Linked DNA regions of Oreochromis niloticus. The protein of the gene in region 1 purifies or fractionates together with the protein of each later gene. This does not show direct contact. Links are inferred from orthologs where the notes say so. Each region holds a gene or a part of one and is shown in the gene's direction. Other genes may lie near its edges.

Region 1 (16,711 bases):
TTAATATTCCCCCCAACACCTCCCAGAACTACTTCATGATACAGACAGCAAGCGGCCTGCAGCTCATTCCTCTGTCATCGCCTACGCCAGTCCAGCCACCACCTCCTCCACCACCACCGCAACCATCCCAGCCTCAAAACTTCCTCCTCTTGCAGTGCCCCTCCAGCAACGGCGCCCAGTCCAGCCTGATTCTCCTCCCCACAGCAAACAACCCTCCACCAGCTCCAGAGACTCAGTCCCTCCCCGTGCTTCAGACTATCCAAGCATTCCAGCCTGTGCTTAACCAAAACCAGACTCAGATACCCCAGTTTCCATCTGTATCACAGCAACAACAGATCATAATTACTAACAACAGTAACAATGCACACACTCCAGTTGCCACACCAACGCACAACCTCTCAGCCAGCTCCCTACTTACGAAGCCGATACTGGGGAAGAGCACACGGACTGCACGAGGCAGACGGGGGCGCAAACCAAAAGCTACACTTCTGAAATCGGCCCCAACCCCAGTCAGTCACACTGCAGGCGGAGCTGCTGCAGTAACAAACTCTAATGTGACCAGTGGCACCCAGACTATTACTGCTGCTAACACTACCACAAACTCATCCTCTCTACCCACAACATCTGACACCATTACCCCGACTCTGTCGTCCCCTGCCACTGTAGCTCCCATAGCGGATACCTCAGGACCCTCGCCGACTGTTACCATGGTTACACCAGCCACCACAGTAGCTGCAGCATCAGATTCTGCTCCTGTCCCTGCAGAAAGGAAACCTCATTCCACTGTGGAGCAAATGAGGACAGGGGAAACTTTGTCAGGGAAAGAGTTTGTGTTGTGTTTTGATAATGAAGAACAGGCAAAGGAGGGGATGAATATCGGGGAGGCCGGGGAGTCATATGTGCTGCAGTTTGAAGGGAATGCATCTGGGGAGGCAATCGATGAAGGACTGGGTGGAGAGGGAAAGTCACTCGTGCTGCAGTTCAAGACAGATGTGTCAGGTGAAGAGGAAAAAGGGGGAGATAAGGGAGGGGTGATGTCACTCCTGCAAGAATGGAGTGGAGAAAAGCAGGATGGGAGACAATCAGGTGGGGATGGCAGCCAGGGGGAGTCGTATGTCCTTCATTTCCACACTAACACACAGGATAATGGTTCAACCAGTGCTGCCTTCAGCCAAGGGCAGGACAACAGCCTGCAGCTTTCGTGCACATCTACCCAAGGCTTAGTACCACTTGATGGGCAGGAGGTGGTGTTTGAGCTGGGAGGTGAGACCAAGCTGGAACAGGAAACTGAGGAGGGCATGCAGATGATAGCCCTGATAGAAGGTGAAGGAGGAATGATAGGAGAGGAGGGCCGAGGTTGCAGTACTGGAAATGGCACAGTTACTGAGGGTGGAGGAGGTATGGAAAGTATCTTTCAGCTGGAAAGTGGAGATGAAATTGTAATAATTGAAGTCAGCACCAGTAGCTTAAGAGAAGGGGGAATGGAGAGAGGAGGAGACGGGGAGATTCCACAAAGTAGCGAGGTGAAATATGAAGGTGTAACAGCAGAGGCCACGGAAAAGTCTACAAAGGAAGTGAACTCTGCAGTCAGCTCAGAGGACGACGCGCTGAATGGACCTAGCTCTAAACCTAAAGAGATGCAGTTCTCTAACTGAGAACGGTGTGCATGTTAGAGACGAATAAAGTGTATGTATGAGTAAATGCCTCACTTTTTGTGGGCTGTTTGTTAGCACTTTATAGTCAGTTGAGTTCTCATGCAAGTGAGCGAGGACATGCAGTTAGATGAGTACTGTGTTGTAATGCCATGCCAAATGTTATACATTTAAATAGGCTGTACATGGACCTCAGAATATTCCTAAAGATTAGTTTAATTGATACTGTCGTTGGCAGTTTTATTAAGTAAATATGTTTTTTGTGAATGTTGTATATTGCCTACTTTCTTCACAATGTTAATAGTAACTAATAATTAATAAATCTGTTAATACCTTTTATCATTTGGATTTTTAATTCTTTTTACTACTTGTAGGGTGTCCACATCCCGACAAACAAAATGTGGAACAAAGAGTGTGTTAATATTGTTTAGTCTTATTTCACCTGCTCTTTAGTTTCAGTTCAGGGATACATCCAGAGTTAAGCACATGCATTTTTGAGGTACATGTGAGCCACAAGGCGGGATGACTGGTCAGGTGTCATATTCATTTCAGTTCATGTACTGCATGCCACCACTAAATGCATAAATTTAATGGGAGCAACACTTTTTTAAGTAATAGTAAAAGCCCACATCACAGCACCACAAATAGCCTTTGATTATACACTCACCCGCCCATTTCTTAGATATACCTTGCGAGTACTGAGTTAGACCCTCTTTTGACTTCAGCACAGCCTTAAATCTTTGTGGAACAGATTCAACAAGGTGCTGGAAACATTCCTCAGAGATTTTGCATCACAAAAATGCATCACAGATAGCATCTGCAGATTTGTCGGATGCATGATGTAAACCTCCTGTTCCACCACAAAGGTGCTCTGTTGGATTGAGATCTGGTGACTGTGGAGGCCATTTGAGTACACTGAACTCACTTTCAGGGTCAGCAGCAGACCACATAAACTGGATGGGCAATCAACTTTGATGGGGGTCATTTGGCTCAAGTCACTTTGCTATTTCATTTTTTTTTTCTTTTAAAAATGCTATGCTCCAGCTGCAGAAATTGACATTTGATTGTGAACACACAATATCTGTATTTTCAAATAGAGTCATGCTTTAAAACCAGCAGCACAAGGTGATAAATGACCTGTTTATGGTGTCAGTGGGACATGAGGGGTACTTCCCAAAGTCTGACCTGCATTAAATCATCTGCTCATCCACACCAGGATTACTACACTAAACTACTTTGAATTGAATAATCAAACTGAGGTTGCACTGTAATAACTTTTGGTCTTTAAGTTTTTCATCACCAAACAGTATGAATCAATATAACTTATAGTTGGAGTGTATCAGGAGAATTCAGCTGAGTGACTTTACTGGGATTGGACTGGATCCCTGAGGCTCATCCATAACACCAATGAATAAAACAGTTTGACATGATTTGAGCTATGTTGTATTTTCCCACACAACAATGATCGGTCTTTAGTAGATAGACATAGTCAACAATAATACTCAGATACTAACAGTCTGTGTGAATGGGTGCAAATGGGTAAATGAGGCAAGTTCTGTAAAACGCTTTGAGTGCTCGGAGTTGATAAGAACCAGACCATTTATTTGTTACTAAAGAACTAAGTATACCAATGAAATATACCCCACACCATTACACCACCACCTCTAGACTGAACTGCACATACAAGGCAGGAGGGTTCCACAAGATCATGTTATTTACACCAACCTCTGATCATACCATCTGAATGTTCCAGCAGAAATCAAGACTCATCGGACCACACACGTTTTTTCCAATCTATTGTCCGGTTTTGGTGAGTCTGTGTGAACTGTAGCCTCGGTTTCCTGTTCTTCACTGACAGGAGTGCCACCTGGTGTGGTCTTCTGCTGCTGTATACCATCTGCTTCGAGGTTTGACTTGTTCATTCAGACATGCTGCATGCCTTAGTCATGACAAGTGGTTTATTTGACTTTTGCCTTCCTGTCAGCTTCAAGACGTCTGATTATTCTTCTCTGATATCTGGCATCAACAAGGCATTTTCATTCAAGTGCCGCTCACTGGATATTTTCTCTTTTTCAAACCATTCTCCGGAAACCCTAAGTGCGTGCGAGAGAAAATCTCAGTAGATAAGCAGTTTTCCAAAATGCTTGAACCAGACTGGCTGTAGTTTTGGCCATGCCTACAGACCTAAATGCATGGAGTTGGTGCCATGGGATTGACTGGTTCAATACTTGCATTAAGGAGAAGTTGAACAGGTGTACCTAATAAAGTGGCATACAGCAGCGATTTTGCCACTGTAAATCCATCCAGTATAACTGGAACTTGGTTGACGTCACTGCCACCAGACGTACGCGGCGCTGTCACGTTGCGTTCGCTATTCACGTAGCAGTTGCGCAGTGTAAGTTTTACGTACGCAAATGGCGTAGGCAGCCACATTGAAAGCGTGTAACGGGCATAAAATAGAGTAAGTTTGTATTCATAATTCCCTTCTTTCTGCAAGAAAACATATGATGGTTATTCAGTGAAACGTGCCAACGTACACGGGCTAAAAACCAACAGAAGCGCACAGAGCGCGTTTCCCACCTTTCAGCTTGATCTGAGGTACTCTGTGCAGAAGGTAAGTGGAGCGGGGGGTTAAATGTGTCAGGAGACCGCAGCCCTTCGTAATAACCATATAAGGATTTGAACCAGGTCTTTTCGCTTTCGAGTGTACCTTTGATGATTTCTGTTAAATGTAAAGACGAAAGCTTGATATATGTGAATTATACAGTACTGAAAAACGGTCCTGCAGGCTGCAAATCCCCCATAATCTCCATCTGCCTTTGTTGCTTGGAGCCAGCGTGGGTGTGCTGTTACAATGCAACTACTGGCTCAGTGGAAGCGAAGTCTAGTGCATTTTATAGTATTTCATAGTTTTGAAATGGATTGACCTATTTTAACTACGTCACGTTTGTCATACTATGTGTTTAAAAAAACACTAACCAGTATTTCATTGTCCAACAAAATCATCCACAAGCTGTTCACTAATACTAGCCCCCAGAATTACATCCTCCTATCCATCCACTCCTCTTCAAGGCTCCCTGTGCAGGCGCTGTGGATGCTGAAGTTTGCAACATAAAACAGCGTTGGAGCAGGCCAGCTGTTTGAGCAAAAAGCCTAAACATGGTGAGGCTGGAGCTTGACCAGGTGGTGATGAGGAGGATGAAGGAAGAGGACATTGAAATTGTCAAAGCCCTTATCAAGGTTTGTATTTAGACAATGCTTTGGGCTTCATCATGTTGGGTATTAAGTCACATCGTTTTGAGGTTTGTGCCCTTTCTTTAAAAAAAAGTGCATGAATTTCTTTGCAGGAGGGCTGCGAGGGCACGGAAAATCGTCTCATCCTCCACATCCTCACTCGCCCACTCTGCCTTTTCATCCTCGCTGTGTTTTCCTCAATTCTGCGCTGCCTTGTCCACTCTTTCATCCTGGCCCTTGCTATTCCTGTCTTCCTGTTAATTGTCTTTCTCAAAATCACCATGCCGCGGTCAACCGGGGTCCTGGGCAGCAGCCGGCCCTACTGGGACTATGTGGGTAGCAGCTACAGAGAGGCACAGGATGACACCCTGCAGAATCCCTACTGCCGGATCAGTGGGAAGACACCATTTACAAAAAAGGTTAGTCTGTTGACGTGCTGAAAATTCACATTTTTTTGAGCAGTTTTTATTTAAGACTAGTCGCTAAATATTACTTCTGTTCAGCCAAAGCGCCGAGCTGGATCCAAAGACAAGGAAAAAGAGACATCAACAGAAAAGATCACTCCGGAGAGGGAGCAGGCAGCAGGGCAGGTCTGGGTGGCAGAGAGTGAGGGAGATATCCTGGGCTGCATCTTCCGGGAGGGCGAGACACGAGCGGGCATCAGCAGGATCTGCAGGCTGGTGACAGGCTCTTGGTACCGCAGGGAGGGCCTCGGTCGGCTGCTTGTCCAAAGCCTGGAGCAGAGAGAGAGAGAGACAGGGGCATACAGAGTGTATGCACACGTCCCCTACCCCTCAAAGGTGGGGGAAGCCTTCTTCAGGAAACTGGGTTATCGCCACCTTGGGGTGGAAACTAGTGATGAAGATGATAAGGAACTGAAACAAGAGACTCCTGAGAGAGGCTTCCTGGGCTACCCCCTCACTAAAGTGTTTTACAAAGACTTGTGATTGAGTTTTAATGGACACGTGCAGTTTAAAAGGTAAAGAAGTGCGTCTGATTTCTGCAGCAGCATGTTCAAGTATTTCATTTATGTAATCTTTGTGTTATTTATTCGATTATTTATTGAGTGTGCTGCTATCCCGAGGATTCATTTGTTTTGAGTTTATTTTTCATCATCTCGTCATTTTCATTTTGATGAAAAAACGATTCTTTATTTAATCATTCAAAGATAGCATGATCATGCCTCAGCTGTGCTGTTCTCTGAGCATTTGTAATAAAGTACTAATTAAATTAAATTTAAACTGTTTCCTTAGCTGTGTTTGTGCAGTTCCTTTTCTTAAAAAAAAAATCAACACTGTAAACGGTGTGTGCGCGCGCGTGTGTGTGTGTGAGACTGCACGCGTTTCTTTGTGTGAAACCAAACAGATGTGTAGGAGGCTGTACAGTTACTGTATAGGAAGTATGTGCGGTTTCGTGAATATGCAGAATTTATCTACTTTTATCTCTGCACTCCCTGACTGCCGCTGTTCACCTTCGTAATAGCTTGTGGGTCGATGAGGCTGCAAAAACAGCACAACCTCAATAACGTTTTCTTCCACTTTTAGTTTTCTTTGTTATATTTTAGGCAATGGTAAAGATATCAAACGCAAAGAGAGTGCATTCTTTAATGCTAGTGTTAATTGATAAAATATATAGTGCTTTAACAATGTGTTCTTGTTTAATTCTACATTATATTTCCTTAATGAAGAGGAAATAAATCATTATTTTCCACTTTCATTCATTTTAATTTATACACTATAAACTGTATTATCTTTTTTTAAAATTGGAAGCTATTGTGGGTCACAGCATCATAAATGAAAGGATTTTGTGCTTTTTTTTTCATTTAAATTTACTTTATAGTTAAAATACTAAATGTAGATTCATTTTGCAGAAAGTAGCTATTAGCTGCATCCCCAAAATACTGAGTTATTACAAAGATTTAATCAAAATCAGTTATGCTTTCATTTGTATGGAGATTGTAGCACGGTACGTAAAATTTATACATAGGTATTATGACTTAAGCATGTGTGTGGTTTGCAGGTGAATGGCAGTTTATATGACTAAGTGGGGAAATGCACACAACCCCCCTGCTTGAGGCTAACCTTAATATGGTTAGCAGCCCTCACGCTTGCATTGCGAGTCTACCCCACTGCTAACCTCAGACGATGTCAGTATAGCATCAATCTGCCACACATAAACACCACAGGATGTTTGTGCAGTGTTAATGTGTGTGGGAAGGAGGCATATCACACCTGATGTGAAGGCAAATATAGGCCTATACTTTGCTGCTAAATCATGCAAGCCAAGCCGTAGTGGAAAATCACCGTCCTTTAATTAACTTAAATGACAAAGCTGAAACACCTAGTAACACAGCAGTGTTGTAGCATGCACGAGTAAGTGTGTGGTCAGGGCATTTTCACCTTGTAAAAGCTGTAGTCTTTACTTGTGACACTTCTCGGTCATCATCAGGTTGTTTCCACGTGACTGCCAAACAGTAGACACCTGTAAGTTGGGCCTCTACCCGCCTGATCTGTAGCTATTATTGTTGTCAGGAAACAGATGTGAGTTCACACACTGGAAAGAAAGTCTGTTTGTGACTGTGGTCATATGCGTCTGCACGGTATGGCTGTGTGAGTGTGTGTGTGCCTGTGCGCGCATGAGCAGTGTGTGGGCGGGTGGGTTTCGGAAAGTATGACTTGGCATTTCTTACACCCGGTCCCCCCCCCATCCTCGACTACGGTTTAAATGCATGTCTGGCCATACGGTACTACTCCAGCACACACACATACACACACACATGCATACAGTGCACAGGAGGGGTGGTAGTGCACACATGAGTGTTCATGTGTGACTGTGAGATGACCCTGGTCAACTGTGGTCAAACCCAGAGAGGTGGTTGGGAAGTGGTTACATATAGTTTGGCATTTGATCAGCCTCTTGAAGTCCAGAAAAGACACATGCGCTCAAGATCAAATGTGCAGAGACATTAGGCTTAGTGCGCTGTCAGAGTAATGCAATATGATGTGAGGTTGTTCAGTGCATGTAGACACACACACACACACACTCATGAATCACTCTAAATTTGGGGGCACCACACAATCACAGGATAAATTAGATAAATTTGTTCCAGATGATGTATAACATATAGACTGTGTTAATGACATGCTCATACAGATGGCCAACACACACATGCTTGCACACATACACACACAGATGAGCGCCAAAAACAGCCACCCTGGGAAACGGTGAATTCCCCAAACCACAGAGTGCATGAGAGGGTGAGGGGAGTCATGGGAAAGCAGGATGCCTGCATGCGGTGCCACTGAGTGAGCAGACTGGGCCCGAGCTAAAACAGACTGAGCAAAAAAGAAAAAGACGGGAGCAAAATAATACACATCCTGATTTGGCACCGAACCGATGACAGCATCCGAAGGTTCAAAGGCTTGTGAGTGCGATTTATCCACACGCTGTGGTCGGTCAGCTGGCCAGCCAGTCCGGCAGGCACGTAGGGCGAGGTAGGTCGATTACAGGTCTGCTCCCATCCTGACACAGTTTGGGAAAACCCAGATGAGAATACAAAGTAAGTGTTACGTCTGGGAACGCCTGTAACTCCACCAAATCTTGGGGCCCCTGAGGAAGTTGGGAGGGGGGACCAGCTAGGTGGAAAAGGCTGAACAGCACTGTAAATCAAGGTGAGACGGTATCTGGAAGCTTTTACTTGATGATATGGCAAAAACAAACAGTTGAGAGCCCGTGACTGTATGAGTCTTAAGTGTCTGGAAAGTTCCATCCAGTTGGCTCCATTTACTGACGTCTGTAAAAACTCCAAAGGTTACAAATCACGTCAAACGCTCCTCTCATGTGTGGTCACTCGGATTATTTTTTAAAATCTGCGTTGTGTAATCTCCCCCTCCAATAAAATTCCTTTATTGCCTTTCACCAAAAGAATGGTTTCACTTTAATCATTGTTTAAACAGATGTCAAATTCTTTAAATAAACATAAGAACCGTGAAGCATTCAGAAAGAAAACATTTGGCCAGTGAGTAATCCAATTACAGCTTTAATTGCTTAGCAGCAGCACGGTGTAATCCAGCCGTCTCTTCTGTATCACGCCTCCCCAAATTATCTTTGAAAAATCATTCTGTCCAACCAGATGCTGCCTTGTGTTGTATGCAGGATGTTTATGTTTAGAGGTATATCTTCTCAGTTCCCTCCCTTTAACCCCCCAACACACACACACACACACACACACACACACCACACCACACACACACACACACACACACACACACACACTTTCACTCTTTCTCATTTACCTTCCTTTATGCTACCCAAGCCCGACGAGTGGCAAAGCGCGTCTTTTGAAATGATTGCAAAGCTAGACAGGTGAGCAAAATGGATATATTCTATTTATATGTTGCATTTATCGTTCCAAACAACAACTATTTGACCAAACTGTGCGTGCAAACTATTAAATTAAGAAAAGAAAAAAAACGTGTTTTTTTATGGCTCTATTACCACGCTACGATACTTTTGATGCCATTATAAGATTTGTCATTGGAAATCTGTTTCAATAATTACGACCCTTTACTCGTGAGTTATATCAGGGTTTCAGTATTAACAAGTGATGAATAACTGTCCTGCTTTCACTAAAAGTCGTGAAACTGAGAGTGAGAAAAGGTTTGTGAGTGAATGTAATCTGCTTTCTGACTGTCCATCACTTGTGCTTGGTTAACCACAGGTTTTGCATGCATTACTTGTGCTAACTTAAGAGATAAAACTTTCATTAATGAGCGAGTCATCTAAGTAGTAAAAAGAATTAGTCTCAGACCTTAGCGGTGTAAAATTATTAATTGTGCGAATTACTAGGGAAACTTTCTGACACCACAAAGCAGCCACACCTTTTGCACTGAAATGTTGACTGATAAATTCAACATAGCGTGCTTTTAAAATGTATCTTGTTTTTTGTTTTTTTTAATCTGTGCTGTGTCTACTGCAGTGTGCTCTTTAATGTTTTCTCCCTTTATTTCAGTATGCTTTTGCCCAGAAAAAAGTTCCTCTATCATTACAAGAATGTGCGCTGGGCGAGGGGCCGGAATGAAACATACCTCTGTTTTGTAGTAAAAAGACGAGTAGGGCCTGACTCCTTGTCCTTTGACTTTGGACACCTCCGCAATCGCAATGGTTGCCACGTTGAGGTAGGTAAAGTGGGAGAAGATATGAAAAGGGTCTGCTCAGTAGCAAGAGAGAAAACAGCAATTGAATGAAGGCTGTATAATGATTATTTTATTCTTATTTTTCTCTGCAGCTGCTGTTCCTGCGCCAACTTGGTACATTATGCCCTGGCCTGTCTGGGTATGGATTTCATGGGGAGAGGAGGGTCAGCTACTCCATCACCTGGTTCTGCTCCTGGTCTCCCTGTGCAAACTGCTCTTCCAGACTGGCCCAGTTCCTCAAACAGACACCCAACCTTCGCCTCAGGATCTTTGTCTCTCGTCTTTACTTCTGTGACATGGAGGACAGTCGTGAAAGAGAGGGTCTCAGGCTGCTTAAAAAAGTCGGCGTGCACATCACAGTCATGAGTTACAAAGGTGGATGAATAAATTTATGCCTATGTGGGTGATAAACAGAAAAAGTAGAGACATATTTGATTTTAGAGTTGTGCACTATTCCCTAAAATAATCCTTTCCTGGATGTCAGTAACAATTATTTATTTTGCTGATTGTTTTCAGACTTCTTCTACTGCTGGGAGAATTTTGTGGCCCAGCAAAGCAAATTTAAGGCCTGGGAAGGTCTGCATCAAAACACAGTACGCCTGGCCAGAAAACTCAACCGCATCCTCCAGGTATAACATGTAACACACAACATATTTTCCCTCAGGCAAGCAGGATGAGGCCAATCGAAATAATGATGTGTTTAGAATGATAATAATGTCCTGTTCTGCCTTTTCTCTTTCAGCCCTGTGACACAGAAGATTTAAGAGATGCCTTCAAGCTTCTTGGACTGTAAAACAAACCTGTGGCTGCCTCTGAAGTTAGCATTAAGTCTATTATTAAGTCTGATGAGAAAAAGATATGTTGGTGTTGGACCATCACTACAAGAGCTAAACTGAGAATTAGAAAAACTGAGAAAAAAATGCTTTCAAGTTGTGGCAAGGCTTGTAACATTGGGTAGCTGCTGCTTGCTGTATCTGTAGCGAAGTCAAATAAAAAATACTTTACAATCAGATACTGGATTGTGTTATTGATTGCTAACGGTTATCATTCTTAATGTTATAGTTTTATAGTACCAATGTTATAGTTTTATAGTTTCTGGGTAACTACCGGTAGGTGGTAGCTACCATAACCCATAACTGTGGATTGTGGTTAAAAACTGACTCCAGTTTTTCACATTTAAACTGTACTCTGGCAATAAAGTCGAAAAACAAAGTCGTAATCAAAGCAGCAAAGGCTTAATATTAAAATTTTAAAGTTAAACCGAAAAAAATCCCATAATACACCCAGCTATTAATCATTTCATTTGTTCCTTTTGATCTAGCGTAGAAAATGTGTGCGTAACACCCCTTTAATGTAGCAACGTGTCGGTAGCAATGGCGCAGAGGGACCCGCTTATGCGCAAATATACCGTCTATTACGGTCAAATAGCCGTTAACGCGGCGCGGACACACCACACCGTCACCATCACCGCCACCGGCGTACTCCGACTGAGTAAAAGTCAAGATGGCGACTGATGGTCAGTTCGAATATGAGTCGATCCTCTGTGTCAAACCTGAAGTCAACGTTTACCGAATCCCACCGAGAACATCTAACCGGGCTATCAGGTGAGGGATGGGGGAGGTTTGTGACCCAGCGCTCGCGTGCTGCTACCGTTAGGAGCCGGTGCCTCAGCGACCTGCCTACCAACCTACCCAGCTCATCCGCTAGTCACGAAGCCTCACGTAGCGGCGGCGGTAGTTTGTGAGCAGGTTGTTTTTGGCTGTGTATTTACAAGGTCATAGGGTTGTACTGGGCCCTGTTAGCCCACTTAACAAGGACTGTATCGGATCGGCTACATCCCTCTCGGTTTGTCTGTGTTCGTGCTTTCATCCTGTGGCACATCAGGAGAGACCTGGCACTTAAAAATCAGCTATTTAATGAGAACAGCGTGCTACACGTCCTAATTTCGCTAGTTTGTCGTTTAAATACAAGCAGAAGAGCATCCCTGAGGCTGCAAAGAGGCTAGAGTCCTTCTCAAGGACGCTTGAGCATTGTTTGATGTTGCTCCATGTCAAAGGGTTAAACATGGGATGCCCCGCTCATAGCCAATGTGGTCACCTCAATCCATTGTTATGTCTTTACTGTGCAGGTAATGCATATGTTATAAAGAGGTCGATATTGGTTTGTTTACCCCATTTTTCATTGGCTAGTCCTTCAGCGTGACCTGCCGCAGCTGCTTCTGACTGGACATTACACCAACCAAACAGTAGCATGTGCCTCAGGTCCCATGAGACAAGATTGGTTAACCGCTGACCATATGTATTGTGAGTAAGGGTGATGATGTAATATTTCATCCCCATGTCTCAGTGAAATGTCTTAGTCACGTTTTGCACACGTAGAAAATGAGTGTGTCTGAGTATGACAAATCATAACAGTAACTTTCCTATGTCTTGCTTATTCACCTCCTCTGTCAACATCAGTCTGAGTAAACTGTCAACAATTAAACCTACATCACAACTGCTACCTCTGTGTGTGTGTGTGCGTGTCTTAGGGCTGCTGATTGGAAGCTGGATGCTCCTGATTGGACGGGACGCATGCGTGTGACGGCCCGGGGCAAAGTAGCCTACGTGAAATTGGAAGACAAAGTCTCTGGTGAGACACGAGCAGACAGGGCAGCGCCATTGTTTACCGGGGCTGTCGCTGCTGTAAATCACTTCACTGTATAGTCTCCTGTTTGTCACCCTGCCCCTCTGTTACTCATCGATTCCAAGGTGACCCAGCCTGCAGCCGAGCGAGCAGTCTGGAGGCTGCATCAGTGCATTTTTTAGAAACTTAATGTCCTTGTTTTCTGTAAAACACACCTTTTGTTTTCCATTCACGTAACATGGCAACAATAATAAGTTCTGGTCTGATTCTTTAAATCCTAAAGAAAGGTGGTTTATTTACTACCTCCTTCAGCATAGGATACAGATAATGTCCTACAGAACAATCAGAGTAACAAACAGGTGATGCAGATCGTGTAAATTTGAATTAACATAACCTGCTGATATGTTTTGAACCTGGAATAGCAGACTGTTAAGCCCACGGGTAAAATGTGGACACAGAACTGCTGTGCTAAAATCTTCATCATGAAGTAAATCATTTAGAAAATCAAGATTATTCATGCAGCTTGTGGGGATAGGTTAATTGGATAATCGAAATTGTCACTAGGTGTGAATGTGCGAGTGAATGTGAGTGTGAATGGTTGTCTGTCCCTGTGTGTTGGCCCTGCGACAGACTGGCGACCTGTCCAGGGTGTACCCCGCCTCTCGCCCTATGACAGCTGGGATAGGCTCCAGCGCCCCCCGCAACCCTGAAAAGGATAAGCGGAAGCGAATGGATGGATGGATGGATGGATGGAAGATTATTCAATTCAATTTTATCTATCTAGCTCTAAATCACAAGAACAAACACCTCAAGGTGCTTTATATTATAAGGTAACGTACGTACAATAATGCAGTGTAAATCCCACCAATCAACTAACCCCTTTTGAGCAAAGACTTGGTGACAGTGGGAAGGAAAAACTCCCTTTTAGCAGGAAGAAACCAGGCCAAGGTAGGGGCAGCCATCTGCTGCGACCAACTGGGGCTGATGGGGAGAAGACGGGACAAAAACGCAATGTGAAAGAGAGCCAGAGATTCATAGCTGTATTAAAATGACCAAAGTGAGTTTTAGGTTTACAGTAATTGAGCTTGAATGTACCATGCAAAAGTAATTTTCTTTGTTTGTTTGTTTTTTATGGACATTGAGTGCTTTTTGGTTCATTTTCGGTCCAGTCCCTGTACCTGACCATTTCAGAGGAATGTTTTTTTTCTGTTTGTTTGTTAAGCCACTTAACATTGACGTGTGACTCATTCAAGCATAAAAAAAGACACCTGACTCAAGTGACAAACCAGTGTTGTGTCTACACATAACACTTAGGAAAGAACCAATTTTAATTTGTACCTTTAGGCACTTTGTCGCAAAAACACATAATTTGTTCCCATGTCTTTAGTTGAATCTACGGAAAATGCCAAAAATAACACAGTCGGACACAAAATAGTAGTTTTGTACCAGCAAGGTGATTCCCTAAAATTTGGCTTATGTCAGCATGGTGTGCAGTGTATCCTTAAAAAATGAGTAAACTGGATGAGTAGAGGAAAAGTGGGAGGTGTAAAACACTGTCTAAAGCAGATGAACAGAAAGCCTTGTCCTTGAGAGGAAAAACTACAGCAAAGACCTGAAATTTGTAGTTCAAGTCATCAGTATGTACGGAGGAGGCACAACAGCTATCTTCAAAACATGGTGAAGACTCTGCCATGGTTTGGGGCTGCATTTCAGCCAGTGATGTTGGCGAACTTGTCCAAATCGATCGAATTATGAAAACAAAAAAGTACCATCAGATTTTGATAATATAAGGAAATGATGAGGGGATACTCAGGATGTTACTGTATATCTGTTGTTGTGTTGCTGCCTTTAAGATTATCATGAATTCATCTGACCTGAATCACATAAACCTTTAATAAAGGCGGGCTTTGTACTGGATCACCTCTCCAGGAGGAAGTGAAAGTAAGTGAGGACATGATGACCAACTAATCTAAGTATGACCGGAATTTTTAATGACTTTATAGGCTATATATTCCTGTTTATTTAAAACCACCTGAAACATATGCAACATACAAAGCTATAGTTGAGTATCTAAAATAAGCTTTTTGTAGTCCATCTTCAGGGCCCTGTAGTTTTAACACAGTAGACCCACATCAATGATGTCATCGTCACGTTGTTCAAGAGACTTTTGTGAGTGGAGTCAGATTCTCACCAGCTCCACAGTTATTTAATTATTCTCCTTCACATCTGTCCTTTACCTCATGGCGTTTTCCATCAAGGTCAAGGAGAAGTATGGTATGAAGTCTTTTTTTTTTATTAGCTATTCGACAAAGCCTTGGATTTAGTGTTTCTTCATTATCCTGCTCACCTTCAGACTGTTTTTCCAAGCTGATAATGAACACATATCTTTTCAGGGGAGCTTTTTGCCCAAGCACCAGTGGACGAGTATCCTGGCGTTGCAGTGGAAACAGTTAGTGACTCAAGCCGTTACTTTGTGCTGCGCATCATGGACGACAACGGTGGGTAAAATGAGTATTGCTAAGCCATAAAATATTGAAAAAAATGTGTTCATTCTCTAGAGGACACGTTTTAACAGGATACAAAGACATTTTCCGGATTGACATGGGTTTTTTAAAAGTCTAATAAATTTAAATTAAAGAATGTATAGTATGTTTTTTTAAATTTTTTATAGAATCACATACTGTCTGTTTTAGAGATTACTGAACTGTTGAGTAGCTGTATCCATAATTTGTTTAGCAAAGACAAAACTTTATTACATAATTTAAATTTCGTTCAGTCCTGATTTTTATTTTAAAGGTCTTCATTTTTAAAGTAATGCAGGGACAGTGATCATTACAGAAGTTCAGTTTCCCTACAGCACATTTTCACCCAGTTTGTGCTACAGTGTTCAGGTCATTCTGAGAAACCTGCAGGTTTATTTTGTTTGTTATTACTGCTGTCACTTGATTGTGCGTTTGTTTGTTTTTCTCAAAGGCCGCACTGCCTTCATAGGCATTGGGTTTGGAGACCGAAGCGATGCCTTCGACTTCAATGTCGCACTTCAGGACCACTTTAAGTATGTAGCCGCTCTGTGAACACATCTCTAATCATGACTAATTGAGTTGTCAGTGTATTTTTTTTCTTTAGTGTTTCCTAAGATACATTTTTGTATATCACTGCTCCCTTTGCCTTCTTCAGGTGGGTGAAACAGGAAACTGAATTTAGCAAGCAGGCTCAGGCTCCAGACTCCACTCCAAAGCTGGACCTGGGCTTCAAAGAAGGACAGACCATTACTCTGAATATTGGGGTATTATTTATTTTCATATAGTTTCATAGTACTAGTGTGGTGTTTAGGCCTTTCAAAGCTGTACAAATATGTCTCTGTCAAGCTCGAATGCATCGCATCGCATATATTTACTGCTAGATTTAAACAAGCATCAATCTTACTGGATATACCCTCATTCATGCACAGATTTTGTTTCCTTCCATCTATATCTTATCTAGCAATCGAAAAAGAAGGACAGGTCTCGTCCACAGAGTTCAGGTGGCCTTGGGCTCCTTCCACCTCCCCCTGGGGGCAAACTGGCTCCACCCCCTTCTTCCAGATCAACAAATCATAACACACAACCATCAGCAGGAGGAAGTGACTCTGGTAGGTAACAGTCCAACAGCAATCCCATGTTTAATCTTCACCTCAGTTTACAATATTATGAGTTCAAGAAAAGATATGAAGGAGGATTCAGAACTAGGGCTGCGGTATATCATATCGTCCGGTATGATACCGGAATAAATTTTTACGTGATCTAAAAGCGTCGTATCGTGATATCAGCGATAGAGCGGCGCCATGTGTTTACATTCCCTAGCATGCACAATGAGAAAACAAGCCCAGGCATGTCTGACTGCGAGAGTCGCATGTCAGCTTCCGATGACGATTTAGTAAAAGAGGGAGCTACTTCACCAAACTCCAAACACAGCACAATGGAAGCAACCAACTTGTTTCACCACTCGAGGCAAAAACAGATCGTC
Region 2 (16,352 bases), on another chromosome or scaffold:
GCATTGTGAAATTTTCTGAACAGCTAATCCCACTATCAGATGTCTGCATTGTGGAAATGCGATTATACATGTGGAAACGTTTGTGGGGAAACGATAAAGAAAATCTCAGTGGGCGCTACTACAACTTTCTGTGTCCACTCGTGTAATCGTGTATGCATGTGAATTTATGCGCATGCAAAATGTCATTCAAGACAAGTGAGGCTTCGGGGGACTTGGTGCCGTGTGTGCATGCTGAGAAGGCGTGATGCAGGGATTAATCCGTAGGGATTTCTGTAGTGCTGTGAATAATTCATTAAAAATCTGAGTTAATGACACATTTGATTTTCAAGCAGCACTTCTGACTCGAGCTCGAGAGTGGAGTTATGAGTGAATACGGGGATTTGAAAAAGATGTCTGTGGGTGACAAAGACACAATTGTGTGTGTTGGAGTAATGTTGGGATTTTTTCTTTATGTCCATTATGAATTAATCCCCACCGTTTTGTATGTAAAGCAAGTGTATATGCAGATTGGACATACATTTATTCAGAATGTATATACACATGTAATTTTTGCAATCCACTGATGTATACAAGGTAGTGGGGGCCAGGAGTGCAGGCATGGATAGACCTTAAATATGGCACCAGGCTATCAGAGCACATTGCTATATAAAGACTATAACCATTCTGAAACAGAAGCTCCCTGCATTTTGTTGCTCTGTGACTTTAAATCAGGTCTTCCGTTGGTATACACAAGGGCGCGCAGATTAATTAATTTAATTAATTTTCATGGCTTTAAGGAGCTGCTAATCCATCTAAAACACTTTCATCAGTATCTGTTTCATCGGAGTTTTTGTATCACATCTTGTTCTAAATTCTTTTTCATAGGCTTTTCCATCCAGCCAAGAACAGTGTGTGTGTGTGTGTGTGTGTGTGTGTGTGTGTGTGTGTGTGCACGCACAAAGGCCCCTCCGATTAAATACCGCTGGTTTGCTATCACCCAAAGGCGTGGGCCACCACCACAGCGCACCACAGCCATCATATTCATAATGGAGATAAAATTAATTTGCTTTCCCCTCCTCTATCGCTTCCTGCCACTCTCCACCTCCTCTATCGCTTGTTCTCTCTCCCTACTCTCTCTCTCCTCCTACACCATTCCCTACATACATTTATCTCTATAGTGTGTGTCCTGCCATCTTCTGTGTCTCTTTGTTTCACTGCCATGTTACAGCAGGCCAGGCAGCAGCCTCCAGCCTCTATCGGTGTCAGGTTTGTGAACCGCACAATGGAGAGAGAGGCTATTAGGTGCTTTCTGGCTCCTCTGAAAACGTTTGTAGCAAATAGGCTTGAGCTTGTTCTTGGGCTTTCTTATCAGGAAAACACCATGCTTCAGTGTGCACATCTATCCATTAGTTGTTCTTCTTTGTTGGTTAAAATGCATTAGCATAATAAAAAAAATGAAATTTTACTTATGCAACCCAACCAGTTCATTAGCAGGTGCAAATGAGCACCTGCTAATGAACTGCTGTTAACAGTCAAGGAAAAACTGCATAAGAAAAAAAGCAAAATTTATTGTTAACCCCCCTTTTTTTTTCTTTTTTTTACCAGCATGGGAATAGTAGCCATAAACATCCTCTCAAATAGCTGGAATAAACCCAAATTCACTTACTTTTCTGCAGGATGCAGGTCACTGAAAAACTAAACTCATCCTGCTCTCCAGTCTCCTTTATCTTTACGCTCAGTTTTTTGCTATGGATTCCTAAACACAGTTTATAATAGTGCTGTACTAACAAAGTAGTCTATAAGTGACCTGATGAAAAAAAATCTGTTTCATGGTTGATGTCCTGGGCATTTTCCACAAATGACAAAGCTAGGTCTGCAAGTACAAGTAATTAATTTCCCAGCATGAGATGTCAGAAATCTATGGAAGAGGATTGGGGCCACTAGGGAAAAAAGTGCAGGTGTTTTTTGGGGGGGTTTCCCCAGAATTCTGACTTTAACGATAGAATTCTGAGATTAAAGTCAGAAATGTTAAGTTTTAATCTCATTTTTTTCTGAGAATTCAGTGAAAAAAAGATATCCCCACTTTTTTTTCTAATGGACCTAATCCTCTTCCATAGACATGCACTTTGACTCCCACAAGTAACTCTGAATTTACTGGGGTAGTCCGCTGTGAAATAATTTGCTTTTATTTGAACTCTACCCCTATAGATGATTTCCCTTACAGTACAGGGATTTTATTTTAAATATTTCAGATATGTGTGTTTTTCTTTATATATCCCTTCCAAGACATACTGGCATTCACAGTACCTTTTTGAACACCTTGTCATGTGGAGTTGAGGAACGACTCAGCCCTCACTAGGGGCGAGATCACTGAGGCAGTTAAACAACTTGGTGGCTGGGTCTCTGGGGTGGATGAGGTTTGCCTTGAGTTCCTAAAGGCTCCAGATGTAGTGCATGCTTTTACAATGTCATGTGGAGATCTGGGACGATGTCTGTGGACTGGTAGACTGGGGTGGTGGTCCCCATCTTTGAGAAGGGGGACCAGAGGATATTTGAGGGTGTGTGGGAGTTTGCTCAACATATCTACATGTGCTTTGTGGACTTGGAGAAGGCATTCGATGGCATCCCTCTGAGTATCCTGTTGGTGGGGTTGCTTCGGGAGGATGGGGTGTCTGGCTTACTGTCACAAGCCATTTATTCCCTATATAACCATTGGATGAGCTTGATGAGCTTATTGTTGGTAATAAGTTGGATTTGTGCCCTTTGGCACCGATTCTTTTCACAGTGTTTATGGGCAAAATTCCCAGGCATAGCCAGGTCGGGGGAAGGTTTTCACTTTGGTGGCCTGAGAATTTCATCTCTGGTTTTTGCAGATGATGTGGTTCTGCTGGCTTCATCAGGTGGTTAAATGAGAATCAGCTGCTTCAAATCTGAAGCCATGGCTCTCAGCCACAAAAAGATTGAAGTGACCACTCAGGGTCAGAGACGAGTTGCTGCCCCAAGTGGACGAGTTTAGGTATCTCGGGGTCTTGCTCACAAGACAGGGGTAGACAGGGGAGCGTGAAATTGACAGATGGATGAGGCCACGGCTGCAGTGATGTGGACTCCGCACTGGTCCATCGTGGTGAAGAGAGAGCTGAACATAAAAGCAAGGCTATGAATTTACTGGTTGATCTACAACCCTACCCTCACATATGGTCACAAGCTCTAGGTAGTGACCGAAAACAATGAAATTGCAGATGCAAGTGGCGGAAATGTGTTCCAAGGAGTGCCTGGGCTCTCCCTTAAAAATAGAGTGAGGATCTCAGCCATCGAAGAGAGGCCAGAGTAGAGCCGCTACCCTCGCAACCCCAGATAAGCAGAAGAAGATGGATGGAAGAAAGAGTAACATGTTGATAGTATACTGTGAACTACAACATACAAAGCTTTACCCAAAATAGGAGCAAAATTGATTTTAAAATAGATCAAAGAATACTTGCTGTGTTAAATCTGACAGCAGAAAATGCAGACACCACCAGAAAAACGAAAAGAAAAAAGCCCAAACATTATCTAATGTGATGATATGCAGAAATCTCTCTGGTTAGGGTTATATAAAAGTATAATAGCAGCATTATGAAAAGGCACATAACCCAAATAATAATAAAGCACCTTTTTACTTGTACAACAAGCAATTCTTGACATATTCTGCAGACTATAACACAATATACAAAATTGTACTTTTACGATTTCCTAACAATCAAAGGAATACGGTGCAATTTCTATTTAGTGAGAGTTTTTGCTATGTTCAATTAAAATTAATTTATTATCAAATGTTCCTCCATCCAAGGAGGATAGCAAAGCTTATTTCTTGTTCATCCACAGAGAACTACTGTACATCATGACCAAACAACTTGTTAATTCTTTAGTTTTCTGGAAATCTAAGTAAGGTAAGTGCTTAATGTGCGTTGTTGGAGAGTGGGGCTTTTAAGTACTCTGCTGATGTGATGCATAATTCAAATCATGTTTAAGAGGAGAGAAAATCATTTGATTGCACCACTTGACTTAGTGAGGGGGAAATGATAAGGCTAATCGGCTGTCACCATCATCTCTCGCTCTCTCTCCCCCTCTCTCTGTGTCTCTCGCTCCTTCTCTGACTGTTTTTTTTAATAACATTGCCACTCTGAATTTTGAACACACTTATGCGTGTCTCCACAGCATGATACAATCACACTGACCTCATGTGATTTAATGTAATCAGCCTTCCCAGCTTGTGTGAAATTGTATTGTTCTGTTTCAAGGAAAATGCTGTGCGATTCTGTGTAAAGGGATCACACAGCGTCGAACCAGAATAATTCTGCGGGGGAAACGATGAGGCAATGTCATTAGGCAGACGGCTGTGTGTGAAAAGCTTTTGGCTCCTTCAGGGATAGCGAAACGTGTTAATTATTGTGTGGAACATAAAGTGTTTGTAATCATGCAAGCTTCAAGGTAGGTTTCATTCAGAGTTAATACTCTAGTTGACATGTTTATATAAAAATATTACACTAGATACACAATATACACCTTTCTGATGATCCCCTTAGAGAGTTAATTGGTGTTTCAGCTGAACTTAGTAGATTTGCTGAAAAACAATAAATTAATTTTAGCATATCATTATTTTTTTGTAATACAATAAGAATGTTTGACATAGAAATATATAAAAATACAACACAATAAGGTCTAACATCTAAGATTAAAAAGACATTAACTTGTCTGTAGAGTTGTATCCTCTCTGTTGTTTAAATGTAAATTTGTTCTACCCATCAGAAGCTTATTCAAGTAAGTCAACTGGCAGCCATAATTTAAAACTTAAAAGCATATCTGTGTCCTCAGTTTCCAGGAGAACACGAGCTACTGAAGAGCATTTGGAATGCAGAAAACATTCACAATGCTCCATGTGAAAGTGTCACAAACCAATTTCTTTGCGTTTGTAAGTATGTGAGGTTTTCTATGCCTTAAATCATGGCTATGGGTTTTAGGGCACTGTAAAGGGCATTTAGGGCGCTGCATCCTCGATGCATGAAGGAGCGTTTCCGCAGGTCCTTCCTCCCTGCAGCTGTCAGACTGTACAATCAAAACTGCTCCCAACAAACAGAGATGTTTCCATCAGCGCTGTAACTGCCATAACTTAATTAACCGATTCGCACTACAACCTGGTTTGCCTCTTATCTGTAGTTATTTTTATTTAATTTAATAACTGTACAGTACTCTGTTTATAGTAACCATTGTCCTTAATGTAAATATGTAAGAAAATTTGTGTATGTTTCTGTTCTGTGTCCTGTGTACCTGTGTATGTGTCTTTTTGGCTGCTGTTACAACCAAATTTCCCCTTGTGGGACAATTAAAAGATTATTCTATTCTATTCTAAAAGAAAATTTTAAAAAAGAAAGAAAAGTACACTATATTAACAAAAGTGTTGGGAACTTGAGTGCCATTGCATTCTTAATCCAAAGGGTTTAATATTATGTTGGCCCACCCTTTGCATCCTCTTCTGGGAAGTCTTTCCATGACATTTAGGAGTGTATTTATTGGGATTTTTGACCATCCTTCCAGAAGCACATGTGAGGTGAGAAGCTGATCAACTAATATATTTGCAATACTGTGGATTACAGTCACTTTGACTTGACTTAGGTACCAGTGTTACAATATTTCTGTTCTATTAAACTATCTCAGTAAAGCATGACAGTTTCAGTGTGACAGTGAGCCATCATGCACAATACCCTTCAACTGAAGCCAAATGGAAGTCAGCAATTAATCATTTCGTCCTATACACTGGTGGTTTTTCTACAGTGACTTGTGTGAAAAAGACCCTCTGATAAAAAAGTTAACTTTTAACATTTAATTTTTTAAATTAAATTTAAATTATTTTTTAAAGTGCCTTACACTGGAAATACTGTGTGTCTGCTTTGCTGGATCAAATCATATCATTTCCTGTGTCCCAGATGACTATACATTTAACTCGTGGCTCAGATATCTGCTCTCTTGAACTTTTCACATTTTGACGATCTCCATAGTCACTATATTCCTCGTCTTTCACCATCCAGTTTTCGGGCATCAGAAGAACATGTGTTCATTGTCATTGTTCACATGCATATTATACAACTGTCAGCAATATAAACATTAATAATGCACCTGGACGTTTACCTTATTGTATACTTGGTAAATAATCACAAACAGGCATTGGGATTGGGAGTTCAGTATAAATACTTTTACATCATCTATTTTTTGTCTTTTTTTAACCCAAATTCATTTGTCAAACTCATAAAAAGAGCCTTCTCCAGGTCCCTGATTCAAAGCTTTGTATTCATCTGAAACTGCCTCTCACCAGCCCTGGGATTTCCATATAAAGTCCTCTTTTCACCCTCATGCTCCCTTTTATTCTCTTTTCTCTCTTTTGCCTTTGATCAAGTGCATTTTCCCTCGTGTTTGGTGGGACGTCAAGCTTGACTGCCTGGCAGTGGCCTTCCTTTTAAATGTTGTTTCTATTGCTCTACTGTCACAGATCACTGGCCAGAGACTGGAGTGGCAAAGGAGGCTTCTACACCATGCGGCACTCATACATTTCTCAATGACGCTCACTGAAAAGGTGATTTTCTGCTTGTCTGGAACAGTGGGACAGTTTGGCATATGAAGCATCTTCTGTTATGAATGCAGCAAAATTGAGCCTATAAGACCAGGATTCAATGTTGTGAGGTCTGATGAGGTAACAGTCATGTGTAATTTAGTTGTATTATTAAGTGGGCTTATTTCAGCATTGGCAACAGAGCCCAAAGGATTCTGTTGGGAGGGGAAACATATTTTTTATTAAGATGTATTATCAGTGGTGGATGAAGTAGCTTATTAATAATGCATCCATATGTACACATATTCTGCTAAACAAGAACAATGAGACTGACAAAAATGTAGGTTTAATGTTTTAAATGCATATTCTAGAATGTTGTATCCAACTTCAATTTAATTTTATTTAAATTGCACCAAATCACAACAAAAGCCACCTCGGGTTTCTTTATTATGTAAAAACCCTACAATCATTGAGAGAAAACCCCAACAATCAAATGACCACCTATGAGCAAACACTTGGCGACAGTAGGACGGAAAAACTCCCTTTTAACAGGAAAAAACCTCTGGGAGAAACAGGGGAGGTAGCCATCTGCTGCAACCACCTGGACGTGAGGGGAAGGAGACAGGACAAAAGACACACTGTGTACAACAGAGATGAACAATAACTACGTAACTGAAATAAATATATAAACACGTGGAGAGTAAAAAGAGATGAGTGAAGAAGAAACACTCAGCACATCATAAGAGGCCTCCAGCACCCTAGATCTATTGCAGTGTAACTAAGGGAGGGTACAGGGTTGCCTGGTCCAGCCCTAACTGTAAGCTTTATTGAAAAGGAAGGTTTTAAGCCAAATACAAAAAGTAGAGAGGGTGTTTGTCTCCTGATTCCAAACTGGGAACTAGTTCCACAGAGGAGGGGCCTTAAAGCTGAAGGCTCTGCCTCCCATTCTACCTTTAAATATCCTAGGAACCAAAAGTAAGCCAGCAGTCTGAGAGTGAAATGTTCTATTGGTGTGAAATGGTATTATGAGGCCTTTAAGATAAGATAGGGCCTGATAACGCAAGACTCTTTACTCTTGCTGTAGCATTTTGGATCAACTGAAGCTTTCTAGTGACTTTTTAGGACACCCTGATGATAATGAATTCATTTATTGTTTTGTGTTATAATACTACTTTGTGATAACATACAAGCAATGTGTTCCTGTTACTGCTTGTTTCGACGATCTAACTTTCAAGCACTGCCGTTGATTTGCAGAATTCTGTTTGGGCACTTTTGGCCCTAAAAGTAACCATACCTCTAACTTCTGCAACCCTGATGGTATCAGCCCCAAGTTTCTTCAGACTCGTGCTAGCCCACTGTCTGTTAACCTGAGTCAAATTTACAGCTCACTTATAAGGCAGCATATGATACTGGCGTTGAAGCCGACATTATCAGAGCTTAACAACTGTTGACCACCACATGTGACTGGAGTGATTGGATGTATCAGTCATGGGCAGAAGGAGGAGGAGTATAAAACACTAGTGAATGATTTTGTGGCATGGTCTTAGAGAAATAATCTGCTTCTGAACATGAGTAAGAAAGAGTGAGTGGGAGTGGATATTGTGGAGGAATACAAGTACCTGGATGTCCAGATTAACCACAGAGCTCGAAAACCCACACAGAGGCTGTATACAAGACAACAATGTCCTATGGACGCTGAGACCTTCCTGATAGAAAATAATAATAATGGATTGGATTTCATATAGCGCTTTTCAAGGCACCCAAAGCACTTTACAATGCCACTATTCATTCACTCTCACATTCACACACTGGTGGAGGCAAGCTACTAAAATGATGGAGATTTTTAATCAGCCAGTTGTGGTGGTTGTGGTGTCCGCTGCTGGCTCTGTTACTGGCTGCAAACTGGACACATTTAAAAAGTGATCACTGAAAAAAATATTTTCTGTCATTCATAAGCCTGATCAACTTCATCGCCGCTTACAGTATAGCGTTTCCGCTAACAGACTGATTCAGCTCCGCTGCCACAAGGACAGATACACGAAATCTTTCATACAATATGCAACAACTTTTTATAATGCAATTCAGATATCTGACATACAGTGATCTGCTTTTTCATTTGAACATTTTATTGACATTTAAAGTGGTTTTTCCCTTTTATTACTGATTTAGAAATATTATGTATTTCTTTATCGTTGCTTGGAATTTCAGAAATATGGGAAAAATAAAGTATTTCTTAATATTATTGTTGTCTATAATAGTGTTTGTGCGCTGTACTGTTAACCAAATTAAGTCATATTTATAAGTTTGGTTAAATCACTTATGAGAAAATGAATAACACATATACAAAGGAAAACAAATAATCCTAGTACGGAGAGACATGGCAGTCCAGTCTACGGGAGAATTCCGTATCAGCAAGGATGAAGATGTAACGATGACAGTAACTTGGAAAATAGTCAAAATCCCTATCCAAATAATCGCTCCGAGACGTTACGAAGATGGTTGAAAACTCTGCTCATGCAACGTCAACGTTTACGACAATTCGTTGCTACGGCAATGAGTGAAGACTGTTTTACGGCAGGCATGTGTATGTAGGGAGCTTGTAGTTAGCGGAATAGCTGTCTACTTAAATTGTGAGAGCGCTTTTTCAACTTTGAAATAAAATTATAAGAAAGCTGAGACTTGTATCCTGGACAAATGGACGTCGGAGAGCTCCTGAACTATCAGGTAGACGTTTCACTCCTGCTAATGTGTGTGAGAGCTAACTAAGCTAACGGTAACTTATCTCATTCATTTGGTTGTAAATAAACGCTAACAGTTTAATGAGTGTGGGCATGTAGACTTTTATTTACCCTCCTTTGTTTGCGTTCTTGTTTAATGATCAGTAAATTAGAACTGAGTGACGCTTGCACGAAAAGAAAGAACAACTTTGGACCTCAAGTCCGTGTTTACTAACGCTAGCAGTTAGCCCGTTTGCTAAAAGTCTGTTAGCTATCTCGCTGCAGCACATCAAGAGGGTTGAACATCGGTGGACTTCCCTGAGATACATCTGTTTAAAACTAGTTATGCATAACAAAGCATTTTGAATCTTTGGCATTCTTAAGTCAGCTCGATTCGGTGTTTTATATGTTAATGTCGAAACAAATGTGTACCTGAACAGTTTCGTTTATCATACAAGGCATACGCACGAGAACTCGACTTCACCCAGTATTTGTATCAAATCTGCAAATCGCCATTATATCTCTCATTTCATAAATCTGTATTTCAGTAAAATCCCGTCTTTTACTTAGGTTCATTGTTCTAGTTGCAACTTTTTAAAATGCCATCAGTTTTCTTAGATTAATTGTTTGACAGCTGCTGAAAACTGTGGCAGCTGCTTCGATTAGCTTGATAAAATTATATGTGCTTCTTTTTTTAAAATTCATTTGAAAAGTCATGATTGAGTGTTTCTATATTGACTTTTCTATAGCTGCCCGATATGACCTAGTCAGGTGCTATAATGGTGTATTTCATTAATTTTTTAAAATCTCATTATATGTCACTTTGCTGAAAACAAGCAACAAGATAATTTTTGGCTCTGCCAACACTTTTTCATATATTCATCTTATAGAGTAAATCCCTGTACATACATTTAATGATCCCTTTTCTTGTTGCAGCCTGATAGGGGAGCAAAGCGTCCCAGGGGCGAAGAGGATGGAGGAGCAGGAGGAGATGAAGACTCCAGAGGAGGCAAGCAGCTGAAAGGGATGAGTGCTAGAGAGCTGGCCAGATACAGGGAGGTGGCAGGAGCAGAAGGAGGTGCTGAGATGAGGGAGAATGAGGAGCTGATAGGGGACAGGAAGATAATCCTGGAAAAGCTGATGGACCAGGATGCAGAAGAACCTGAGGTGGGAAGGTTATTGTAATTGTTATGTTATTATTATAGAGTTGTTACTCTGGTTTCTTTGGGTGATGAAAAATGAAGAAATGTAACAAAGATCATGAAAATTAAATGTGTTCCTTTATTCTCATATGTTTGGAATTCATAGTTTGCATGGCAATCTTTGAACAGCTTTCACCATACTAGCATGCTTCATCAGGACATTAGCCACATTAGCAAATTCAGATAGATTTACACAAACACTACTAAAACAAACACAAACATGCTATGATTAAAAGTGTTTCAGCCAGATTTATACCGTCAGACTTATTAGATGTTAGTTGTTGGTATAATCTGCATGCATTGTGTCTAAATGTAACCACCTGTGACATCTGTGTCGGTGGAGTAATTAGAAAATATTAAGATTGACAACATTAAATAGACAAAAGTTCAGTTTCTTTAACACGTGGGAGCACATCTATTAAGTCAGACTTACTCAAGAGCGCGTTTGTTTCCTGTAAACAACACAAACAACAGACTTAAATGCATTAGCATTCTTAGCGAATGTTCCATTGATAATAACGAGAGCACTTTAAATCAAATAGAATACAATGTTAAATGACAAAGATGACTTATTTCTTTTATGGCAATCTCTGCTTTAGTCTGGAGGAAATAATTCAGACTCCTTTGTTGGAAGACAAATGTGAGATTTGATGGTGCTGCCACTAACCCAAATTCTCCTCTTCACTACTGCTGCATCCTGGCTTTGGGTCTGATTAAGAGATCCCTCTTTTTACGTCATTTAAAGTCACGCCATTAAAACAGACTTGGCCACTGTGGTCATGTCTGTTTATTGTTCTGTGACCTGTTAAAGTCAGTTAATTAAAAAAACAAAAGTAAACGTCCATTTATAAAGTGTCTTTGTATTTTTCATTTTTGTTCCAAGCTGCTTAGTCTGCAGTACCTACTTAAAATAATAAGCAATAAATGATATAAACTGTAAGATCATTATTGTAGTGGACACAAAAGGTTTTTATTGCCACTTTTCACTTTCCCTTGTCATAGTTTTCTGTGATTCCCCACTGGTTTCCCTGCCCGAATTTCCTTTTCAGTTTCGTATTGTTCATTAATTTTTCTGGTTGATTTCTATCCAGGTTTCTGCTTTTAAAAAAGGAATTGCAAAATGGTTTATTCCTCAAAGCTCTTTGAGAAATCCTCTTGCTCCACTGGGGTTAAAACTTCCCATACATCAATCCTCCAATCACAAAGTTGCCAGTATTGCTGGTCCCATATTCAGTGACCACAGGGGGTGTGCAGTCAGTTTGGCTGGTCTAATGCTCTTGTGGCTTTGACAAACCAAACAAAACTAGATTACTATAACCAGGATCTGGTGTCCTCAATCACCCAGTTAATCTTGGATCTTTCAAGAAACTTGGAGAGAGTGAGACTTGAATTACTGAAACACTAACATGGTGAAATGGTAACAAAGTAAGTTCCAGGAAAGGTTGTTTTATGCTACATTGTTATCTGTCCAGCACTTTGGAGGTTTATAATCCATCAGGAGGTCAAACACCTTCTCTTTTCAGTCAAATGCATTCCATCTGATTGAACAAAATGTCTGCACGATTTGCTTCACTCACATGATTAAGGTGACCCTACAGTCTCTTTGTTGTTATTGCAGCAGTTGCTTTAATAAAATCTTTTTTTTTCCTTTTTCTTTCCATCTTCCCTTCTCCATCTTTTTGCTCCCTTTCCCCTGCCTCCTGTGCTAATCAAACAGGCAGAACTGGTCGATGAGAGCTCAGTGAAGAAAATGATTCTGACCTTTGAGAAGAGGTCATACAAAAACCAGGAACTGAGGATTAAGTTTCCAGACAATCCAGAAAAGTAAGCCCATTACAGACAGAGTATCTTGTTTGACTTTATTCCAACAAACAAAACTATATGTGGATTTAAGTGGATCTAAAGAAAAAAGAGGGTGTCAGCATTTCTAAGAAACACTGTCATATTATGATCAAATTTATAATGCAAAACTTCTAATTTGTGTTATTAAACTAGGTTCATGGAGTCGGAGCTGGATCTGAATGACATTATCCAGGAAATGCATGTGATTGCTACGATGCCAGATCTCTACCACCTGCTGGTGGAGCTGAACGCCGTCCACTCACTGCTGGGCCTCCTCAGTCATGAAAACACTGATATCCTTTCACATTGAGATTGATTCAGATCGCCTCTCTCTATTGAATGTTTTGTTACGTAACATTGGTCTTTAAACTTGTTCCCTGTTTACTGTTGTAAACGAAGCTAGTACAAAGAACCAAGGACAGGATAAGAACATGAAAAGAGCTAAGAGAGCAAAGATGTGTCAACTTTTTATTGAATTTGTTGCACACAAAGCTTTTATTTTAGCCATGTTTTTTTAAACTATAAACTTGTTCTTACTTACATTAAAACTGTAACAAAATACAATTTACTAAGTGAGTCATATTTCAGATTCAAAACCATATTGGAGTAAATACATAAACCCTTAAAAAATATAAGAAATAAATATTACAGTAGCCATTAAAATACCTTCAGTGAAGGCACTGGTACTCAAGGTGCAGCCCCCAACAACAAACCAAAAATACGGACCAACCTGGGCGATCAATTTGCATTCTGGGTGAAGTAGTCGCCTGGCTTTGAGAGGAAAGACAAAGCATTGATTTGGGTCCTTTTACTTCTACAGTGTTATAGGATTGCAGAGTTAAATCAAGTAGGGAGTATTGTTATTGTCCTGAGCCTGAGCCACATGTCGCCATAGCCGTGGTGGACCTGCTGCAGGAGCTGACAGATATTGACACACTGCATGAGAGCGAGGATGGTGCTGAGGTACTCATAGATGCTCTGGTGAGTACAAAAGTTTCATGAGTCTCTGCGGATATTGATGAAGCAGCACTTTTTGGAGTTAGTACTTAAGCTTCTTGGATACGGTGGAGAGAAATTGATTGCTTAGTCTTTGTTAATGAATCAAAAGAAAGGTTTCAGTTAAGTCTCACTTAGAAGCATTCATGGTTTTTGTTTTTGCTTTTTTGTGTGTGTGATTTGAAACACAAATTACATTAAATTAAAATAATTCTAAAAAAAAGGGTTGTATTAAAATAACTTTAAAGGGGAAAAAAATCCACAAACATTAGTTCTTAGTAAAGCTGCCAGTGTCATTTACAGGGGCACAAATGTCTGAAGTTACCTGTTGATTTATTTATTTAAAGTCTTTTTAATTATCTCTTAGCGGCGGGCTGTGACAGTTAAAAAAAAAAAACATGATGGGATTAGCAACATGACAAGAACTCAGTCAAGAGGAAAAAATGGATTTCAGTATGTAGTTTGATCAGCATAATTATAGCATCGACTCTCCCACTCTTTCTTTTTCCGTTCTGTTTTCTTTGTCACCCTCCGGCTGTGTGTGTTGGCATCACTTCACTGTCGATGATCTCTCCCTGTCTCTCCATCTCTCTGTATATTTAGCCCCCTCATTCCTGTTTTTTTTTTTTTTTTTTTCTTTTCTAGTTCAGCCTGTCGTGCTGCCGGGCTTTCATAAATATTAGAGTGTCGTGATTCTCGATATCCCATTATGTTTTTTGACATTTAGAGCGACACAGACAAAGGTCAAATTACAATAATGTGCGGGTAAAGCCATGATGGGGAAAAGAAATGCGTGCCTCTGTTTCTTCACACCTGTCACTGTGACACTTCGTCAGAGAATCAGTTGACTTTTTTTCTCTGCTACACTTGACCACTTTGGTTGGGAGTCTTGGGAGTTTTAGAGTAGTTTGATCCAAATATTTTACACATCCACGTGGCATTTTGAACATACTGATAAATTCAGTGTGACTTCATGAGGATAGCTCTGTTTCTGATGTGAACAGAAACAAGATGCTAACACCAGACCTGTGTTGTTGTTTTTTTAAAGATATCTAGGTTAGCCAGTTAAGGTTTATACAATTACCTGGCATGGACTTAAAAAGTGACAGGAGAAGGGAGCGGGAGATCGACAGACGGATTGGTGCTGTGGCTGCAGTGATACAGACGCTGTACCGGTCTGTTGTGGTGAAGAGAGAGCTGAGTGTAAAAGCAAAGCTCTCAATTTACTGGTTGATCTACGTCCCTACTCTCACCTATGGTCACAAGCTGTGGGTAGTGACCGAAAGAGCAAGATCGCAGATACAAGTGGCGGAAATGGGCTGCCTCCGAAGGGTGGCTGGCCTCTCCCTTAGAGATAGGGAAGTTTGGCCATCTGGAAGGGGTTTCAGAGTAGAGCCGCTGCTCCTTCACATCGAAAGGAGCCAGTTAAGGTGGTTCGGGCATCTGACAAGGATGCCTCCTGGGCGCCTCCTGGGTGAGGTGTTCCGGGCATGTCCCACTGGGAGGAGGCCCTGGGGCAGACCCAGGACACGCTGGCGAGATTATATCTCTTGGCTGGCCTGGGAACGCCTTGGTGTTCCCCCGGCCAAGCTGAAGGAGGTGGCTTGGGAGAGGGGGGTCTGGACTTCTCTGCTTGGGCTGCTGCCCCCACGACCTGGCCCCGGATAAGCCGAAGGGGATAGTTGGATGGATAGATGGCCTCTGTGGATTTTTAGCACTTTCTATAGATGGTAGATTGGATTTTATAGGTGAAACCAGCACCATGGAACTTTCGCCGTGCTCTTTGAACAATTTCTGCAGTATAGCTGGTAGCATCATCCTGTTCTATTCAATGAGATCATTGCAGAAAATTACTCATAATATTAAAATACCTTCAGCTCAGCTTCTTCCTTTAATGCATGTTGCTAGCCCAAGTAAACACAGTACCAGCAGCAGAATGTGGGGATATCACATATAGCTGGACCAGTGAAAATCCTGTTTCTATCTGTGTTTAACTGCACATTTAATCCCTGCGATATCTAATTATACGCAATGGAAGTGTATTTGTAACAGTACGTCTCTGTTTTTTAATATGATAAACAAATGTTGCTGTAGTAAATGAAAGAAATCTGTCAGAACAACTCTTCGGGCTGAAAGTGTAAGAAATTGTGTAATTTCAGAAAAATGACAGATCAGGTTCTGGTAGCTCAGCTCAAACTGTCCTGTGAATATAAAACAGAAGGTTTCTGTTAATTCACAGAAAGTTTGTATTCTTTCACTTTGATATGTTTAACTAAAACAATTATACAGTAGATGGTGAAAAAACAGGAACTTTTGCCATTTATTTGTTTATCTATTACGTAATCATTTTGGCATAGTATTAGTGGCCATGGTGGAGGTCTTTATCTCCAGAAAAAAACTTTAAAGCTAAAATTTTCCAAAGTTGCCCGCATGGTCTTTCCTGGACCAATTCTGGGACCCAGACCTCATGTTTGACATCCCTGATCTAGACAGTGTGAAAGAACCTGTTTCATTGGACCATACCTACTTGCTCTATTTTCTGGTTCTCATGCTAAGTTTCCTCTTTGCAGGCACATTAAGAGGTAGATATGAGTTACAGTGTGCAATGTAACCAGCAGGCACAGCTCTGTATGTGGCAAGTAGCAATGAATGGTTTGGACATCTCTCAGTTGTGGCCCTCATTAAGGTTTTCAGCAGTTGTGTTACTGCGCTATTGGTCTATATAGTAAGCCTTGGGCTTGTTGTCCTTCCATTTAGGACATAATGGCAACTGCATACCACAACACCTCACAAGAACTGCCTTAACGCTGTCGTGTAGTTGTCAAATGCCTCAGCTCGTCACTCTACCTGTCCTCAATAGCAGGTGCCACTGTAAATAATTAATGAAATGTATTCACTTTATTGAATGGTTGGATGTATAGATGGTTTCTGTGGTGTTGCCCATGGGTCCTGTCTCTGAAATAGTCTTACAAACACAGAGCAGAATATTAACTTCACTTTCTGTGTAAGTATAATGTGTTGAAATACTGTTTGTGT

What was found.
Region 2: the proteins of aicda (region 1) and ctnnbl1 purify together in Homo sapiens (affinity purification with western blotting; 3 studies listed by BioGRID, with this or other methods). This does not show direct contact. The link is inferred for Oreochromis niloticus from reciprocal best matches to the Homo sapiens genes AICDA and CTNNBL1.

The regions. Positions count from the first base shown.
Region 1 is NC_031976.2:22,723,433-22,740,143, reverse strand, and holds aicda (single-stranded DNA cytosine deaminase), read left to right. Parts: upstream 1-9,091; 5' UTR 9,092-9,189; coding exon 9,190-9,251; intron 9,252-9,897; coding exon 9,898-10,063; intron 10,064-10,129; exon of another isoform or gene 10,130-10,173; coding exon 10,174-10,456; intron 10,457-10,597; coding exon 10,598-10,710; intron 10,711-10,823; coding exon 10,824-10,874; 3' UTR 10,875-11,091; downstream 11,092-16,711. Other genes in the region: znf628 (zinc finger protein 62 homolog), read left to right, coding at 1-1,655; nat14 (putative N-acetyltransferase 14), read left to right, coding at 4,812-4,892, 5,000-5,305, 5,390-5,833; adaptin ear-binding coat-associated protein 1, read left to right, coding at 11,585-11,685, 12,612-12,712, 15,100-15,204, 15,680-15,761, 15,884-15,992, 16,190-16,337. UniProt on the Homo sapiens protein: Single-stranded DNA-specific cytidine deaminase. Involved in somatic hypermutation (SHM), gene conversion, and class-switch recombination (CSR) in B-lymphocytes by deaminating C to U during transcription of Ig-variable (V) and Ig-switch (S) region DNA.
Region 2 is NC_031984.2:28,880,453-28,896,804, reverse strand, and holds the start of ctnnbl1 (beta-catenin-like protein 1), read left to right. Parts: upstream 1-9,097; 5' UTR 9,098-9,253; coding exon 9,254-9,283; intron 9,284-10,212; coding exon 10,213-10,443; intron 10,444-12,195; coding exon 12,196-12,302; intron 12,303-12,473; coding exon 12,474-12,613; intron 12,614-13,203; coding exon 13,204-13,301; intron 13,302-16,352. UniProt on the Homo sapiens protein: Component of the PRP19-CDC5L complex that forms an integral part of the spliceosome and is required for activating pre-mRNA splicing.